Astyanax mexicanus: one gene and its partner. The protein of the gene in region 1 interacts with the protein of each later gene in a biochemical or structural test. Links are inferred from orthologs where the notes say so. Each region holds a gene or a part of one and is shown on either strand. Other genes may lie near its edges. The genes, in order: lcat and apoa1b.

Evidence for each region.
Region 2: the proteins of lcat (region 1) and apoa1b form a complex in vitro, tested with the Homo sapiens proteins (6 studies listed by BioGRID and IntAct, with this or other methods). The link is inferred for Astyanax mexicanus from reciprocal best matches to the Homo sapiens genes LCAT and APOA1.

The regions. Positions count from the first base shown.
Region 1 is NC_064417.1:7,191,381-7,201,662, reverse strand, and holds the start of lcat (phosphatidylcholine-sterol acyltransferase), read right to left. Parts: upstream 4,035-10,282; 5' UTR 3,944-4,034; coding exon 3,796-3,943; intron 2,391-3,795; coding exon 2,234-2,390; intron 1,415-2,233; coding exon 1,299-1,414; intron 723-1,298; coding exon 627-722; intron 333-626; coding exon 108-332; intron 1-107. Other genes in the region: ccdc135 (dynein regulatory complex subunit 7), read left to right, coding at 7,977-8,143. UniProt on the Homo sapiens protein: Central enzyme in the extracellular metabolism of plasma lipoproteins.
Region 2 is NC_064411.1:43,930,385-43,940,736, reverse strand, and holds apoa1b (apolipoprotein A-Ib), read left to right. Parts: upstream 1-6,789; 5' UTR 6,790-6,854; intron 6,855-7,426; 5' UTR 7,427-7,433; coding exon 7,434-7,476; intron 7,477-7,605; coding exon 7,606-7,750; intron 7,751-7,843; coding exon 7,844-8,438; 3' UTR 8,439-8,796; downstream 8,797-10,352. UniProt on the Homo sapiens protein: Participates in the reverse transport of cholesterol from tissues to the liver for excretion by promoting cholesterol efflux from tissues and by acting as a cofactor for the lecithin cholesterol acyltransferase (LCAT).

The DNA of each region.
Region 1 (10,282 bases):
GTAAGGGAAACAAACAGTAGTAAGAATCTTTCTGAAAACTGCATAACTTGGTTTAAAAAAGAAATTTATTTTAATGAACAGTGAGGGCCAGTGACCTTTTTTATTACCTGAGGCTAATACTCTGAGGGGCTTCACTGCTCCACCCCACGGCGCTCCCAGTGAGATGAAGCTCTTAATGTAACGGTCTTTCCAGGCCTTGCTCTGCTGGTTGAGGAAGTAGAGGATATAGTTGCTGCCCATGCTGTGACCCAGCAGGTGAACAGGCTGCTTGTATTCGTCATGCATTTCCTCCACCAGACGCTTTAACTGTGAGAAATATTCATCCTGCTCATCTGGAACACATCAGACACACACAGTGTAAGAACATTGCAAAATCTAGTGTGTGTGTGTGTGTGTGTGTGTGTGTGTGTGTGTGTGTGTGTGTAAAGTAAGGTCACAATACATGTTACTATGAGTCAGAGTCAGGGTGGAGGTAATGTGGTGAATTAGAGAGATAAATGAAAATTAATAAAATGAACCCGTTCCGTTCCACAGATCAGGTCAGAGAAGCTAGATGGACAAAGAATGAACTGTGTGTGTGGGAGAAGAGAACTGTTTGCATGGTGTGTGTTTGAATGTAACCTCACTTGGCGCAATCCTCCAGTCATATGGTGCTGCTCGAACGGTTTCGTTACGCACATATCCCATATTAACCAAATGTTGAAGCATGGTGTGAAAATAACCTAGCAACAGAGACACATCAGCATTAAAAAAATGACAAGGCTAAAGGGAAAGACCTATATTCTGTTATAGAAAAGTACATTGTATACTTTTTAAGTTGAGTTTAATTCAACTGACAATACTTCAATAATACATTGTTAGATCAGTTTATTATGTGTTATGTAGATTTAAGTACATCTACATGTTTAAGTACATTGAACTACATATTAAAATGTATGTAAATGTATTGATGTTACTCAGTAATTTATTTTCCAAACAAATAATAAAACCTGTGAAGTTACATTTAATTCTATATTTCTATAATTGTTAAAACTAAAAACTAAAACTAAATGTAAACATCATACATAGTGAAAAAACACACATGCAAGTCAACTGGAGATTACTTAACAACTCCACATAGTTAGAGATCCAGAGTTCCATTACTTAAACTAAAAATGCCAGCTTAGCTTCAGTCATCAGACATGTTTTGTCTGGCCAGCCACTTATGGAATATGGGGGAAATGCAATGGGTTATGCAATTTATGTCATTTTATTCCACTAACCCTAACACAGATATGCAATACTGTTGCTCCACTCACCTGCCAACTTGTTGTTGTCTAGAAATTCTACAGTGTATGTCTGCCCAAAGCCTGGGGCCCGAACTTCAACCCCTGGAGCATTGGAGGTTTTACGAGTTGTCCGATTGTACACAATCCTACATTGTACAGAAAGACACACAGTGAGTCATTTTTTTGTGAAATGTTGTCAACTGGGGTCCATTTGTCGTCATCATGTTTGCTGTTTGAGAACTATCCAAAAACAACAGACAAAAGGTTAATTGCTTCAGCAACTGGAGGGCAGCCATAAAATCTGATAGCTGGGCATTTACCCCTGTACCTGCCAGTCAAAAAAGCATTATTCAATGGACAGATGGGACAGTGTTTGAATTGTAAAGATGGTTTCTGGTCAAACTAAACCTAAACCTAAACTAAATGGGAGTTTTAATTGTAGAACACCTTCCACATTGCAGTTTACTTACCCAAAATATTTTGGGTAGGGACTGTTTTTGGTGATTTACCACCATACTAAATTTAATCTGGGCCTAAAAAACTGGTTCTCCATTTCCAGTGTGAGTTAGGTAGCACAAGGTTATTAAATATATCAGTGAAGGTTTTTTAAGAACCAGTGCCATGTTGATCCCTGCCAGAATTCTTACACTTTTAGGGATGTTTTGCGAGTGGGAAAGATGGTAAATCTGCCAGTCCCCAGTGGGATGCTATACATGTGCACTGACCTTTCCTAGGGTATTAGGGAAAGAATGTGGTGGTGTCATGGGAGTGAGTTAGGACCATCCATATGAAGGCCACCTGGATTGAGTTATCATAGCCCAAATGAGCTGGCAGCTTTCTTTTCTCACAAATATACATAAGTGTAAGAAAATAAATATTATTATATTGATATTAACATATCAAACCCTTAACTCTTAAAATACCTACATTTTAACCTATGTAAGATGTGCTATTCAATTCCTCACCTCATGTTATCAATCCAGCAGTCAACACCAATAGGCATGAACATGTTGAGGTCGATCCACAGGGGAAACCAGTCCTCAGATTTCTTGTAGCATAACCAGTGGACCAGTGAAGGCTTGTCAATCTTCGCTTCAAGGCGATTTCCCAAATTCCCAGGCACTAAATCATCAGGGTCAAGGAGTTCAGGAGAGTAATAGTTCAAATGAGACATTTTCATAGCCCATGAATTTTCACTACAGAACATAGTGGCTCCAGCAGTGGAACCAATCTATGTCCAGGACTACCACCAAACCAGTTCAAGCTATGCTGCCAAGCTATGTCCAGTAATGCCTCCAAACTATATCCAGCAATGCCAACAAATTATAACGAAAAATGCTGCCAAACCATGTCCAGCAAAACCTTCAAACTATGTCTGGTAATGGCACCAATGTCCAGCTAGTCCACCAAACTATGTTTGGCAATGCTTCCAAACTATGTCTGGTAAAGGCACTAATGTCCAGCAATGCCACCAACACCAAACTGTCTTACTCTAGTAGTGTCCCCAAGCTATGTACAGAAATGTCAGCAAACTGTGTCTGGCAATGCCACCAACTTTATCCGGCAACAGCAGCAATGTCCAGCAATGCCACCCTACTTACTCCAGCAATGTCACCAAACTATGCCCAGCAGTGTCATCAAACTATGTCCAGCAATAGCATTAAATCATAACAGGCAATGCCACCAATCTATTTCTAGTAATAACACCAAACCATATCCAGCAATGCCACCAATTTATCTACAAAAAACTGTGTCTGGCCATGCCACCACTGGCTATGCCATCAACCTATGTCCAACAATGCCACCAAACCACATCCTCTGATGTCACCAACTATATCCAGCAATGTCACCAAACTCTATACAGGTATGCCACCAAAAAATATGTACAAGGATGTCAGCAAACTGTGTCTGTCCATGCCACCAAAATCTATCCAGCAATGCCATCAAACTATGTCCAGCAATGTCACCCAACTATATTCAGCAATGCCACCAAACTATGTCTGGCTATTCCATCAAACATTTTCCAGCAATGCCATGTCTTGCTATGCATTCAAACTACATTCAGCAATGACACCAAACTATGTCTGGCTATGTCCAGCAATGTCAACCAACCATATCCAGCAATGCCACCAAATTATGTCTGGCTATGCCATCAAATTATGTCCAACATTGCAACCCAACTATATTCAGCAATTCCACCAACTATGTCTGGCTATTTAATCAAACTTTATTCAGCAATGCCAGCAAGCTATGTCTGGCTATTCCATCAAACTTTTTTCAGCAATGCCACCTAACCATGTCTTGCTATGCATTCAAACTACATTCAGCAATGTCACCCAACTCTATCAAGCAATGGTATTAAACTATATCCACTAATGTCAATAAACTATGTACAGGAATGTCACCAAACTGTGTCTGGCTATGCCATCAAAGCATTTCCAGCTATGGCATCAAACCCAAACATAAATGCTGTCACACTATGATGTTACTAAACTATATCTACTATGTTACCAAAGCGTTATCTTACCTATGATGAGTGGTGGAAGTGTGCTGTTACTTGGTACACGAGGTTTGGCTGTAGGGGGGAAGATCACGTTCAGAAGCCAGAAGGCTGAACACTGATGAAGGGCAATCAGAACGATGATCACGGAGCTCAGCGCACGCGAGCCCTGCATGATTTCCTCTCCGTGTGGCTGGCTCTCCGGTAACGGGCTGGGCTGACTTTCTGTCTGAGCCCGGAGCAGTGGAGGAGTTTTAATGCTGAGGGAGCGCCAGGGGGCGATGAGGTCAGCGCAGCAGGTAAATATGAGCCGGACAGGACACAACAAGAAACGCGCTTAAATACCACATATATATATATATATATATTATATTATATCTTTTCTCTCTTTCGTTTTTATAATTATTGCCCTGCAGGCTATGAACATAAATATAATAGCCAATGCAGTGATATTTTAATATTTACAATTGGTGTAGAATAACTAATATTATCATTATATTCGAATATAATATTCTAATATTATTGTAGGAAATCAAGAAGGAGCAGCTGCATCTTTTTACTTTCAGTGTTTCTTTTTTGTCCTTAGAACCCCCCCCCCCCCCCAAACACACACACACACACACACACACACACACACACACACACACACACACACACACACACACACACACTGTTATATAAACACCCCTGGAGTCCTAAACCAAACCTTATTTAACCACATGAACCAAAATGAACTTTTCTGACTGCTTTTAAAAAAAAAACCTTAACAGTAATGCATTCTCGTTGGGATCTGTCGCACAGAACCAGTGTCCTGGCTCTATTGATCGTACTACTGGGCAGTTAATCATTTACAGCTGGGATGAATGTTAGGTTCATTAATACTCCTGTAGTACTCTCACTCTGCTGAGAGATGGGTAATGCAGAGAATAGACTACCCACGTGCAATCTCCCCGTTATATTAGAAAATGACTGTAAACCGCTAGAGGGAGCCCGCGAGGGAGTTCAAAATGAATGGGTGCTAAATGGAGCTAAATGGCTAAGAACTCAAATTACAGTTTTTCTCTGTCACTTTGAAAAATTTTCTCAGATTTGATTGAATTTGGTCAAATTACACATTATTTTTTCACGTGTGCAGAACACAGATAACATTTCTTATTAAATTATACAAGCAGCAAATGCTTTAAAGTGCTATGGCAAATTTATTCTGTACAACTGGCACAGTATGACTGCCTAAGATAGATAAACGTGTATGAGATGAGAAATATGGGCCTTTTACTTAGAATTAGCCCAGTCTCACTGCAAGAGTATAAATCTAAATATCACTATAATTCATTCCAAGATGAAAATATATAGAAACCAATCCACTCTCCGTTTTCTTACAAAAGATTATCCTTGGATTGGAGCTTTGATGTAATATTCAGTTTCTTCATGGGCATTTATTTACAGAACAGCAAGCTTTATTATTCGACTTAATTATTATAAGCCGTGGCCACGCCTTAGGATCTCATTCCCATGCCTTACTAAGTCGTGGCCACACATTGTTTTATTTTAACATGATGTCACCTCCATACGAGAAGAGTGTCTCTTATAATCTATTTTTACACACACAAAATTAAACAGCAATCTTTATTCTGTTATTGTCTGACACGGTTCCCGCTCCTGATACATCCTTTGTATGTGTGTGTGTGTGTGTGTGTGTGGCCAGTCAGTCATGGATTACATTAGCATTGAGAAAATTCTTAAGGAGTAAACTGATACACTACTACATGACTAATAATCATTTGATTGTTTAAAAGGTTTGTCTTCGGTGCTGAAACATGTTATATTTTTCTGTGTTGTGGAAATTAGTATATTTTTCTGTGTTGTGGAAATTAGTATATTTTGGGTATGAAAATAATTAGACAATTATAAACCCTGCTCAGTTGCTTCATTCATTTTGGACTCATTATACGACATATCATTTTTTGATTACTAAAACACGTGTTACATGATAACCATAAATAATACCAGACTCCTAATAAGGAGAGATTTGAAAATATTTTATTAAGCATAAATATTTTTGAGTTAACATTTAGTATTTATTCTCATATATCGTTTTAGATTTTAGTTGTAATTATTTTCACATGTGCCAAAATGTTTGCACAGTAAACGTGAAATATGTGATTTTAAAAAATAATATTGGTTAAATATGTTTTAAAATCTAACGTACGTGAGCTCGTGAGTATCCACGAGCCAATCCAAGCACAGGAGTGAGCGCCGGAGGGGCGGGCTTTGGGAGAATGCGGCTCGCGGATTGGTTTAGGTGGTGAAGGGCCATGGGCGGGGATTTTGTCGCTTATGGAAACCGAGTATAAACAGTTCCAGCGTTACTGAGGAGTAAAAGGTAAGCGGTTCATACTAACGTAAATATCTCATATAGTAAACCAGAATAGTCTGTATTATATACAGCTTTACTATGTAGTGAAGATTGTAAAACAAGGGTTAGTGTGTGCACGTTTTCTAACTGTCTGTAATCTAAATATATTTAGCTGTGATATTCTGTTTTTTTTGGGTCTCACTCACATTTAACAAATAACGTTACAGCTCTGGAAAAAAAATAAGAGACCACTTCAGTTTCTGAATCAGTTTCTCTGATTTTGCATAGGTTTATGTTTGAGTAAAATGAACATTGTTGTTTTATTCTATAAACTACAGACAACATTTCTCCCAAATTCCAAATAAAAATATTGTCATTTAGACCATTTATTTGCTGAACTGTTTGGATACAAAAATCAAGCAGTTCAGCTTGGTTTGATGGTTTGTGATCATCCATCTTCCTCTTGAGTATATTTCTTAGGTTTTCAATGTGGTAAAATCAAAGAAACTGGTGGTCTTTTATTTTTTTCCAGAGCTGTATAAGTACTGATTTTTACCAGGGCACTTGTATTTATTTAAATTATCAAAACAGTAAAATCTATCTTTCCAAGAGCAGAGCTCTGGTTAAAAACAATATAAGATACATATAAGATACATACATACAGGTACATCTGAAAAAATATAATATTATTGAAAAATTACATTATTTCAGTAATTCAGTTAAAAATGTGACATATATCATAAAGATGCATTACACACAGAGTGATCTATTTTAGGAGTTTTTTTCTTTTGTTGTTGATGATTATGGCTTACAGCCAATGAAACCCCCTGGAAAATGAAATCCTGTGATCTTATTAATTTTACAATGTAAAAAAATATATATAAAAAGAAAGAAAAAAGTGTAATGAGAAGAGGTGTGTTCAAACTTTTGACTAGTACTGTATATAGCAGCAACACATTATCAAAAAGAAATTCAAAGTAAAGTCATTGACATCTATCACACTTGCCTCAGATAAGGTCAATGTTAATAATTCAATAAAAAGAAAGAGACTGGGTGAAACGGACGTCCATGAAAGAGTTCTAAGGCAAAAACCACTGCTGACCAACAAGAACACAAAGAACATTGCTTTGCTTCTTCAGGAGCTGGACAATTGCTATAATTGATGGAACCATGAATCCATGAACCATGATGCTCTCTACCAAAAACTCTAAAGGAGAATGCCTGGCCATCAGTTTGTGACCTTAAGCGTAGGCGTACTTGGGTTGTGCAGCAGGACAATTATCCAAGGCATATCAGTCTACATCTGAATGGCTTAAAAAAAAGTGATGTGGCTTGATTTTAAACAGGCTGTTTATGCTCAAATACCTTCCAGTATGGCTGAATTAAAATAATTCTGCAAAGAACAGTGGGTGAAAAAGATTCATTTATCGCAAATGCTTGATTGCAGTTGATGCCAAGGGTGGCACAGCCAAGTTATTAGATTTGGAGGCAAATACTTTTTCACATAGGGCCAAGTTGGTTTGGATAGATTTTTGCTTTTTATATTTATATATGTTATATTTGTTTTATATTAAAATGTGTTTGTTAATCTGAAAGCTAAACTAAATCTGTAGGGGGCAAATACTATTTCACAGCACCGTATATTCTTCAAAAGGTATGTTTTTCACACAGTTTGGTCTTGCTGTATTTGCACAGTTTTGCTCTTATCTAATGTTTTTCATGCTTGCCATCTGCCAGTTATGTTCAAGAGCTAAAGCAGGTGTGTTAGAAAACATGAAAGCCTGAAAACATGAATCGGTGGGATGGCAGGTCCCCTGGACTGCAGCATGTGCCTTGTTTTCACTCCTTGTAGATGGAGATGCTGCCGGAGGTCGAGCCTGAGCTGGAAGAAGCTGAGCTCCAGGAGGAGGAGGCAGAGCAGGAGGAGGAGGAGGGAGGAGAGGATGGAGGTCTGAGCGAGTTACGGGAACTGGAGGAGACGCTGGCCAAAGTGCAGATAGCCCCCTCAGCAGCCCAACTGTGAGGTTACTATAGTTCGTTGGCGCTTGGTAAACTCTGTGCTTGTGTTAAAGTGAGCCGGTATCATGGTTATGCCACCCCGACTGTTTGCATTACACAATCACTGACTGCAAACATGAAGATGTAATGTCTCATACACGCTGTGCTGAGGGGGAAAACACACTCAGGAAGACCACCCAAACAAAAATCAATAGGCTGTGTATTGAGTATGGGGTTACTAAAGGTCAACATGTGTGTTAAGATAGCAAACAGTGGCTTTAGCATGCTCTTAGCATGTTGTGGTCTTGAGAAAACCATAGGAAGTCCAGATTTCAAGCATGATGAAAACATGGCCTCACATCTGGTGGTCAAGTTAACAACACACCTAATGAGTGTTGCTTTTCTTTAGTAGTCTAATAATAAGTAATATATAGCTGAAAGTAAGATTCTGACAGAATTTTATGTGTTTCCTAATGAAAGAGAAGATCACTCAACCTTTTTACACAGTGATGCTTGCTGTATAAAATCTAGGTCACCAATAAAAAACCTTAAAGCAGAGTGATTCACAAAATCTAAAACAATCCAGAATAAACAACAGTGTTGCTTTATTAATCTTCTTATGCTAATTGGGAAACACATGTTGTTTTGATATAGGAAGCTGCATTTTTGCTTAAGTTTGCCTGTAAGCATGTTAACATGCTGCTTAAAAGTGCATTTTGTTCTATAGCCATATGCCGTAGTATATACTAGTGCATCTCAGAAATTAGAATATCATTGAAAAGTTACTTAATTTCAGTAATTCAGTTCAAAATGTAAAACCTTACTACATTATATAGATTTATTACACACAGAGTGATATATTTTAAGTTTTTTTTTTATTGTTGATGATTATGGCTTACAGCCAATAAAAACCCAAGAATATTATATAAGACCAATTGGTACTTTTGGCATTCTGGGCAGTGTGCCAAGTCCTGCTGGAAAATGAAATCCACATCTCCATAAATGTTGTCAGCAGAGGGAAGCATGAAGTGCTGTAAGATTTTGTGGGAAAACAAAACTGCACTGACTTTAGACTTGATAATAATAAAACACAGTGGATCAACACCAGCAGATGACATGACTCTCCAAACCATCACTGACCATCAGTAAATTTTACATTTCATTTGGAAATCAAAGGAGTCTGGAGGAAGAGTAAAGAACCATGTCATCTGCTGGTGTTATACGTAAAAAGGAAATTGCTGATCCAATCTGTAGCATTATAATCAAAACAGTGTAGGTTCTTTAAAAGTGAGGAATGATTGACTGTATCCAAAGCTTTAGAGAGATCAATAAAGATGAGTGCTCTCTTTCTATTATAGACAGTGATTTAATTTATTAAGGGCAAAACCTGATCCAAACCAATCTAGCCCTTTGAAAAAAAAAAAGTGTTTGCCTCAAGGGTGGCACAATCCACTTATTTGTTTTAGAGGTCAAACACTTCTTTAGACAGGTATAGATAGATAGATAGATAGATAGATAGATAGATAGATAGATAGATAGATAGATAGATAGATAGATAGATAGATAGATAGATAGATAGATAGATAGATAGATAGATAGATAGATAGATAGATAGATAGATAGATAGATAGATTTGGACAATTTGTTTCTTTTAATAACTAAAAGTATCATATAAAAAGTGCTTTTTATATTTACTCTTTTTTATCTTTGTCTCTTATTAAACTTAGTTTGATAACTGAAAATATATCAATCAGACAAAAAAGTAAAAACAGTCTGTAGAGGGCAAATACTTTTTCACACCACTGTAGATATTGGTGCAATTTGTGATTTTAGTCACCCCTAGACTCCCAAAATAGCAAAGGTAAAGACAAAATGCTCCTTATTACAAGTCAGTCTGTTTTAAAGCTGTTAACGTAGGAAAGAATGCTTTAGAAAGGTGTGCCATAATTTTTTTTTTTTATTTTTATTCTCCATAATACACTATATAGAGCTCTTTCTGTTAATAGCTTAGGAAGTCAACTTTGATATCAAAATTCTGGAGTTATGACAAACCTACCCCTGAGTTGTGTTACTGTGTAGCAATTCTATTTATAAAACTGGTTATATTTGAACTCTAGGTTGGTCTGTGTTTGTTATGTTAAGTTGTGCTGCCCATGAATA
Region 2 (10,352 bases), on another chromosome or scaffold:
ACTGTTTATTATATTCACTTAGAGAAGTATATCTGCTGTGTCCCAGTGTCTTTGGTCCATCACTGCAGAAAGAAGCAGGGAGAAGTTGAGAATAGATAAAAAAATAAATAAAAAAAAAAGACTACGCACAATGTAATTTTATTTCTAAGCATCATGATTTTAAAACCTTTTTTTCTCCTTTCTATTCAAGAAGGCAGTTTATACTGCTCTGTCTTTTATACATATTTAAGCTCTGTTCTGATTGGCTGCACTGTGTCTTAATGGGCGGGGCTAAACTGTGATGTAATAGCGGATATGTTGGTATTTGGAAGTTTGTAGTTTTGGAACATTCTAAACTTATTTTGCAGTCTAATTAATTAAACATGACAATTTGATGCAGTAACCACATAAAAACTCTTCTGGGAAGGCTTTACTTAAGATACTGCTTACAAACATTGCTGCATGGATTTTATAGCTTTCAGCCATAAGAGCAAAAGTGAGGTCCACTACTGATGATGTATGATTTACATCCAACTTTTACCCCTCCAGTCTCCACAACAGCTCCTCCAGAGTGTAGCTGTAACAGTGTTTCCATACACAGTAATACATTCAATTTTAATACATTCTGGAACAAAAATGTGAAGATTTATCCTCTGTCCAGAAGTGTGTGTCCCAACCGTCCTGTCATTTGACCTGCAGTCTGAAGTCCAGCTTCACCATTAGCTGGAACAGACGTTCTTGGAGGTTAATTTAAGTTAAAATTTTATGCAGGATTTTTTTTTTTTTTGCATTTTGCTAACATGCTGTGTATGATTTTTTTTTTTTTTTTTTTTGCGACTCACCATTCTGAAAAATCTCAAAACGCATCTTAAAGCTAATTCACACATCAGATAATTTTACAGAGCTTTTAAAAACACGGACAAATCTTTGCTTTGCTGGTTCCTTACTTAGATATGTTTTTTTTTCAATGCCAATAAGTTGAGAACTGATCATTTAATATTTTTTTAATATCTTAATATTTCTTTTTTTGCATGGTCATTTTTACCATTATGTAATGCAGCATTTGCATGGGGACTTTGCTGAGTATCTGTGTCAAAGGGACAGTTCGATTAAGGCCGTTGCAAAGTTCTCTTAAATCAGTTCAAGCGTGGGCGTTTGTTTAAAAAAACGTTTAGTGGCTTTAGGGTAGCTGGACATCATGAACTGCCAAGCTAAATATTAGCATTGAAAACCTCTAAGTCCACCAAGAATCCAGTGAATGGAACATCATGTTTAAACAGAACGACAGCAATTCCAGCCATTTTCATTGAAATATCCATGCAACACTGAATTAAAATGAATGTGAAAGAAACACATGCCAAATATATACCAATGTATATATATATATTTAATCAACTAATCTATTGACAATAATTTTGTATGAAATCTTGTTCTGTTCTCGGTGTGTCGTTGTGTAGGTGGTGGACCATGGTCTCTTGTTTTGCGCCATAGTTTCTCTCTATTCCTCCGCCCACGGGTCACGTGACATCCATGATTGGCACCCACACATCACCTTCCAAAAACCTAATCTAACCCTGCAAAGATGCTTTCAAAGTGACTTTTGCTCTACTTTTTCCATGCTATTGTAGTTTATACAAGTGTGCTCCAATGTGCTCCTCTTGTGTCGGGTTATAAGGTGCACTATTAACTTAGCTAGTTTAGTTAATAGTGGACCTTATAACCCGATGCGCTCTATACTGCGAAAAATAGGGTATTGCTAAACTCCTTTGCTGTTTTGACGGCGCAAGTGTAAGACTCAAAAATAGACTGTTGACTTGGTGTATGGTAACAAAGAGCATGGTGAAGTGCCTTGCGCAGGGTGCAGGCTAAGCTAAGTAAACAAAGTTGTAATAAAAAATGACCTTCTTTTAAAGTCAAACGAGCACTGGATGTTAATCTACACAGATATCTCTCCTGAAAACTGTTTATTTGGGTCAGTAAAGCGCATTTGTTTATTTACAGTAAGCTTGGATTACCGGATTCAACAGCACTAAGGCTGGAGCATTAGAATTAGCGGCTAAACGCTAACCTGACAGTGGAAAACACAGGTGCGCCACTTACTGAAACAAACCTAGACTATAGTTTAACTGTCAAGATTTCACTCCTATAGGTGCGCCAGCACCCGTACACCCTCGCTTTTTAAACAAACACACACACAGACACGCTAACCTGACTTTTAACTCAACAATAAACAGAATATAAAATAACAAAATAATATAATAAAATAACATTGCTAACCCTAAGTGTTTTACATTTAAATGTTAGGCCAGCCCAGTTCTGTACCCTCTTGGTCTGCAGTCATTTCTTTTTTGTAATGTGTGCAGCATGTGGCTTTGCATTGTTTTGTTAAAAAAATGCCTGGAAGTCTCTAACAAAGATGTCACCTTGAAGCAGTGCTAGATGTAGTTTGATATGGGGAGTCCTTAGATTTCAAGCTGAAACTTTATTATGCTCCTTTATCCTGTTTTCAATGTTTAAGACCACCATTTTCCTTAGGTATTTAGGAGATATTGGGGAAATGTACTGCAACCAGTACTGAATGTACTGTCTTTAACCCTGAATAATGACTGAATAATCCTATTATAACACAGTGCAATTAGCACCAATAAAAACAGCAGGGCAGTTGTTTAAAAGAAGAAACTGATACTAGTTCTAATATTTATTCTCAGTGATGACATTGGTGTCTAACTGAGATAATGCCAGACCAAAGGTTTGTTTTATCAGTCCTCCAGTAGAATACTGTCCACACTACATTCAGTTCTACACTTAGATTAGCATGTTGTACGCTCTTAAATGTTTGGCAAATGCAATTTTTACATTGGTAAATGAACATAACTACAAATCCCTTTAGAAAAAAAAAATTCTGATAGCTCTTAAGACACATTTGGGGGTTATTGTTTATATAAAGAATATCAATAAAAAAAAGCCATATATAGTTTTTTTATTATCAAAAAGCATTTTTGCATGAAAGTGCATTTCAACAGTAGCGTCCAAAGCTTATCATATGACTATACTCTATATGGGTCATGACCTACTTTAGACCCGTAACAAAATATGATACTTTTAAATTAATAACTTTTTAAATAATTTTTATACTCTATATGGATCATGACCTACTTTACACCCATAACAAAATATGATACTTTTAAATTAATAATTTTTATGTACATCTAAAAGCAAATACTTTTGTGCTTTTACTCGAGTGGAGGTCTAAAGGAGGACTTCTACTTTTACTTTGTGTGTCTCTGCTTTAACTCAAGAACATGGGTTGGGTACCTTATCCATAGCTGGAAAAAAGAAAGCTGTACAAAAAACACTAAATAAATAAATAAAATAATTTAAAAAATTAAGATATTCCCGTTATCTAGATATTTAAATTGTAAACTGAGCCTTTGATCATTATAAAGGCACGAATAAAAGAATTAAAGTAATAAAACGAATGGTGGAGATTAAATGTCAAGAAAATAAGTAACAGTTATCCAAACACCCTGTTTTAACTCTAGACATATAAACGTACAAATATATACGTATAAATAAGGAAAGTAAAGGATGCATGATATTTTACTGTATCTTACTGTAATTACAGAGATAACAACTACAAGATCAACTCAACCTTCACCACTATCATTTAACTGATCTGACAAATGGGGCCAATTGGCCAGTCGTCTCCTGATCCACGCTGAGTTAAAGGAGTGAACAGAGCTATTGACACTGTGTTTAGAAATGCGCTCAGCAGGGAGCCGGTGTTTTACTGGCAGGAAGAATGGAAAATGAAAGGTTGCGGGTGAATTGTGGAGGGGATTAAGGAGAGGGGGTGTGAGCCTGGTTATAAAAGTCGTGTGAAGTGAAGAGAAAGTTTGGGGATTTGGGACACTGTAATCAAGTGCAGAGCCATCTCAGGATCAGCGAGGAGGGAGGGAACTCATTTGCAATTGAAAGCTAATGCTTTGTTACAGCGGACGGCCTGTCTTTGAGAAACATTCCCGTATACAGTACAAGCTTGATTATCTATCAGGAGAGAGAAAATGTTCTAAACTTTATTTAAATTCAAGTCATTTTAGAGTATTTTTATCTCTTCAGCATGAAATCACAGGTTGAATATTTAAGGAGCAAGGATGGGTTGAGAATCTTCAGTTTGCCAGTATTACTAAAATGTCATTATACCCTCTGACAGCACTGCACCAAGAACCTGTATTCAACAATAGCTGATAGATAAACATTGGTAGGACTTCCTTTGGCAAATATTTCTCAAACACTACAATGGAGTTACATCCACAAATGACACTTACAACTTTATGTTTATGCCACTGCAAGCCTTATGTTAACCATGTTCAGAAGAGGCATCAACTTCTCTGGTCACAAAAGTATCCAGATAGACCATTACACAGTGGACATGAGTACTGTGGTTTGATGAATCATTATTCCAGATCATTTTTAACTAAATGGACTATCCGGACTTAATTTGAGTGTAAGTACACTTCTGCGATTAACTATGGCAGAAAATTACATTGAGATTTTGCAGTTACATACGCTGCAACATCTTTTCCATGTGCACCCATGCATTTCTCAAGAAGTCCTGCAGTCCTGACCTGTCCCCAATAGAGAATGCGTGGAGAATTTAAAAACAGAAAATAACAATGACAGCCATGTGCTATTGCACACCTTATGTGTTTGGGAGAAGATAGGGAAAAAATAATAACTAAAACACTTTGCTTGGTATCCTCAACTCTAAAAACATGAACTGAATCTAGAAGGCTAAAGTACAAGGACAGTGTTTGAAATTGATTAGCAGTATTGAAGCAGGGATGAGCGGTTAAGTAATGGTCTGACGTTTGACTTTGCACTTTTTTTCTGCACTTTTGAACTTATATTCTTACATACGTGTGACACTATGTTCAGGGGTCCAAATGGATTTAAAACGGATGGACTGGTTCCATATTTGTCCTATATATTAATAGTCAACTGCAGTTCTGCTGACTCAGACGTCATACTCCCACATAGGCAGAGCATTTTGGATAGTGTCCCTGGAGTCCATCTTAAATTCCATGAATTTGCTCTGCTGATTTTCTCTTTGCTTTTGTAGGTTAATGATTAAGCATAGAGTTCATCAGGAAGGCTGAAAAAGTGCATTGATACATTTTCTGCTAATTTCTGTCCTAATTCCAGTAGATTGAATGCTAATGTTATAGAAAGCTTCTAATTGCTGATAGGATTTTAGCTTCTACATGCATCCAGGCTACAAGGTGTGATCTCAGGGTTATAAAGTTTAATTTTTTTTTAGTATGTTAAAAATACAACTAAGAAATAAACCTTTCCATCATGCCTTAAAATCCCTTTACTGTGTAAAAACCAGTACGTATATCTTCAAAATTGCATTAAATCTGTAGTGACAGACAAAGTCCACACACACACTGGACAGCTCAACTGACCCTTTAACCCATTTGTCATTTTGCCACAGCATGCAGAGCAGTCTGGCAGCTTTTTCTAATGCAGCGATATGGTAACAGAGTGTACCATGAAGATTACGACACTGCTTTATGGTGCGGGTCTGTACCCAATGCCCTTTCAGAACCTTATCAGAGAACCCAGGAGAGCGCTGGATCTTTTACCCTGATAAAGAAAAGACAGAGGGATAAAAAAAAAACAAATGAAAGAAGGAGATTCCCCTCTAATGCCACTGATTTGATCATTGAATTTTACTGCAGTAGATGTGTTTGCATTTTTTTTTTATCAGTTTACTCAATGCTCCCACTCAAGACTAATGGCCTGCCTGTTCACGGCCATGCAAATTTACAAGCTTGTGTGCACAGATTTTGTTGGGAACATAAAGTTCTGGTTATTTAAATTTTATTTGCAATCATAATGAGTTAGAAATGAACATATAAAATTATGAAATAAAAGGCAATAAGATAATTTAATCAATATTTTAAAGTATGTTCTAAATATAAAATATAAAAAACTAAACAATGCACTGTAAGGGTATGTGCATTGAGATTGGATTGGAGATACAAGATATTTTAGATGTTAACTTAATTAAGGTGATTTAAGTCATTTTCAAGTAATTTCAAGTCATTTCTTCAAATGATTCCAACCTGTAAAGAACAGGTTTAACATTCTAAACCATTTGACCCAATTATCTGCAACATAATTTGATTTATTTAACTTTCACACTCAAAAAGCATTAAAAATGTGCTTTTTTCATGCTAAAGTTAATTTTTTTTAAAAGTATCCAATTTTTACCAAGCTGGAGGATAGATATATATAATTATAGAAATAATGGTTCTCCACTGCCACAAGCATTGAACCCCCTTTATGGCCTTATGCCTTTACTACAATGAAAACAGAGCAAACTATATAGGTTCTAATCGAGTTACAGAAGTGTGCAATGGTCATTTAAAGAATATTATATTATCTGTATAAGCGACAGATGAGTAAATAGTACAATGGATCAAAAAGTTCTAAAAGGAAGTATGCACAAATAGTATGTTTTTGAATGATGCAAAACCTTTTTAAGTCAATATTCTACCAAGTGTTTACACAAATACACAAAAACATGTTCACGTTCTTATCTGCACGAAAAACGTCCAAAAAGCAGAAGAAACTGAACATAAACATCTCCACAGCACTTTTGTGCTTCTATCGATGACAACCTCCCCCTCTACTCAGTAGGTGACCATTGTACCCAACTCGTCCAGTGAATCAGAGAGGGGGTGAGGTCCAACTCCACAGAGGCAAACTCACTCCCCACAGTGTTCCCTCCCACTCCCCGGGGCCCTATAAAACATCCATCTCCACCTCAGGCTCATCAGTCTCTCCAAGACCAGCATCATCAACAGGTAAGCAGCTGAGCCAAGGGAACCGGCACTTTTTCACTGGACAGCCACGGCTGAAGAGTTGAAGATTTTACGCACTGAAAACTTATATATTGTATAGAGGCAGTTGTTGTAGGACATTGTACTTTTTAAGTTTTAGTTTTTATACTTGAGTTGTTTAAAAGACAATTCTAATTTGTGAAAGACTGGCTAAAATCACAATTTAGAACAACATTTACATTTTTCCCAATAGCATTTTAATTCTTTGCAAAGGCCTCCTAAAGAGTCACCCCAGGATAGGGACAAATCCTCCCTGGCTGTCCAAGAGTAATCTTGGGGATTGAAGATTATCCCATGGTTAAGAGCTAATCTGGTAGTGAAGCCTTTGTAACTCCATGCAGCTCTGTTATATCCAGTCTGGATTAGAGTGTAGGTTGATAGGCTTGACATATGCTGTAGACTGAACTCATTCAGGACGGCTTGAGAGTTTCTCTAGTTTCATCAGGCTTTAGGTAATAATTGTCAAAGATGTGTTGTTGCTCTTCAAAGCTCTTTAAAAGATGCTGACCTGCAATATTTGTTGCTTCTCTTCACAGATCCATCATGAGGTTCGTGGCTCTAGCACTGACCATTCTTCTGGCCGCAGGTAAAAAATGTTCCAATTTGCCAACACTGATAATAAAAGGTTTAAACAATACCTAGTCCAGTATGTCTGTTCCAGCAGCATGTTCAAAATCTTTAGTCTAAATTCGTCCTCCTCTTCCTGCTTGTTCAGGTTGCCAGGCCCGCTACATGCAGGCAGATGCACCAACTGACTATGAACAGATTAGGTCTGCAGTTGTGACATACCTGGGTCAGGTGAAGGAGACAGCTCAGAAAGCCATCGACCGTCTTGATGATGGTGACTACAAGGAAGTCAAGTAAGAGATTAAGCTTATTTTTCCAGGCCTACTCATTTATTACTCTAAAGACTAACAGTAACTATAAGATCTTTGTTCTTGTCTTCTTCACAGGGAGCGCCTCACCCTGTCCCTGCAAAGGATCCAAGGCTACCTTGAGGCTGCTTCTACCTCCCTTGCTCCAGTCAGAGAGACCATCGGTCCCCAAGTAGTGGAAGGCGTCATTGCTCTCCGCGCCAAGGTTGAGAAAGATGTTGAGGATCTGCGCAAAGAGCTGGAGCCCAAGCGCGAGGAGCTGCGCCAGGTGGTGAAGAAACACCTCGATGAGTACCGTGAGAAGCTGGAGCCCCTGATCAAGGAGTTCACAGAAAAACACCGTGAGCAGATGGAGCAGCTCCGCGTCAAGATGGAGCCCGTGATGAAGGATCTGCAGGAAAGGATCAAGACCAACCTGGAGGAGACCAAGTCCAAGCTGACCCCCATCGTGGAGGTCCTGCGTAGCAAGGCAACCGAGCGCGTGGAAGAGCTGAGGCAGTTTGTCGCCCCCTACGTCCAGGAGTACAGAGACCACGCACAAAGCGTCTTCGGACAGCTGCAGTCCAAGTACGAATCTGGAGAGCTGCAAAAGAAGCTGGCCACCGTGGGAGAAGAGATCAAGCCCCAGCTGGAGAAGATTGTGGAAACCCTCCAAAAGGCCTTCATGGCATAAACCTTCTTATCCTACACCTCTCCCACCAAATCACAGCCTCTTTCAACCCTTTCCTACATTTCCAAACCCTGTTACTAACACCAAGTCTGTAAGGCTTTATCATACAAAAGGACTCTTTCCATCACACACTTACTTACTCACACCACGCGCTGATGCAGCAAAGGACTTTTACTGCCTGTCTTACAATTGGCCAAGCTTTTGATGACACTTAAAGCAAACACATGCTTAAGTATATGCAAGACCTGTTTTTGTGCAACATTCTTTAACGCCTGGCTAAAAAATACCTTTCGCTGTGCTTCTGTGTTGTTAAAAAGTGTGCCAAAACAATGGCTCAATAAAAATAGACTGTTTCATACAACTTCCTTTTGTGTCTTAAGTGTTTTTTTAAGGTGTCCTTCAGCTTTGGCTCTCATCAATACATTAAACATTAGCAGAGCAGTTTAACATTATTTATTAGGCATACGGTGGTACATAAAATGTGTGAATTAAGGGTTATTTGGACATAAAATCATATTTTCTCTAGCTGTAAAACTGCAAAATCAAAATGACAGAATCTTTGGTTTTAGACATGGATCATTTGTTTGGTTATTTTGCCCCATTAATGACAAGAAAGCTCATAAACTTTCTCTAGCTCCGTTAATTCTACATAAATTTACTACTACTACTTTAATATGATAATACAAATATCTTTAAAAAACAGTTTCCAATTAAAACAGCCTTTACATTCAACAGAATAAAGTAATGCATAATTATTCAGAGAGAATGGGACGTACAAGACTTTGTAGACCAACAAAACTGTCCCCAGTGCATATTCACTTTCATTACTCCTCAAGATGTGCTAAACAAACTATTATTAAACACACACACACAAAATAGTTTCTGCATTAAGACTAAGAATATGACAATTGAACACTACTTCAAAACACTATTGTCAAAAAACTGTCAACTAAAGACTTTTACTACAACTGGGTTTGACAGTCCTTTTTTGTGTCAAATCTATTTAAAATATAAACTCCTTTATTATGTCCCAGGTTACTACTGTTAGCATTATCCCAGGTTAGCATTGCTAATCGATACCAGTTGACAACAGTATCAACCAAACACTATTCAAGCAATTCCACAGATAGAAGCTGGACAGTGTTGTGTGTACGACTGATTTAATGACACGCAAATAGATAGAAGTGACAGTAAACAGTATAATACTATTCATTTAAAATATTGGTGAGCCTCTCTTAACTTTTTTAAATATGAAATCTAACTTGTGGGGCATTTGAATTAAAATTTTCTACCTGAAGATCTCGACATCAGGTCAAATGTAAAGCAGCACAATAACTTAATGATAAATATAGGGATCAATTGGTTATTGTCCATTATCCTGTTGATTAAAAAATTGGAAAAAAATAAAATAAAAAGAAACAGAAAACAGAAACAGAAAATTTACACTAGGACCTATGAAATGCGTTTGTTGGAGACTAATGGGTTTTATTAGGATAATAAATCACCTGGAACAGATCCTGACCTGATGTTTGGTAGAGATCTTGTACTTATTAGTATTAGATGGATGAGACAACTTCATGAACTGCCTCAGGCAAAGTCTTGCCAACACCACCCTATAATCTTTTTATCCATGAACATTAGGCAAGGAGATCCATAAGCACATCTTGATCCTTAAAAACATGAGGTCAATGAATGATATGCAGGAGACGCTGTTTTTAAACCCTGTCAGTGTTTGACACAGATCAGCCAAAATATTAAGCCTCATGTTATGTTCAACTTTAGGAAACAGCATTCATTTCTTATAAATTATTTTTAGCTTAATTAATGTAAACCTAATTAATATTTTGTATAATCAAAGTGTTCAGCCTTATATATAACGGTTCACCTATGATAATCCACAATAAATCACAATGAATA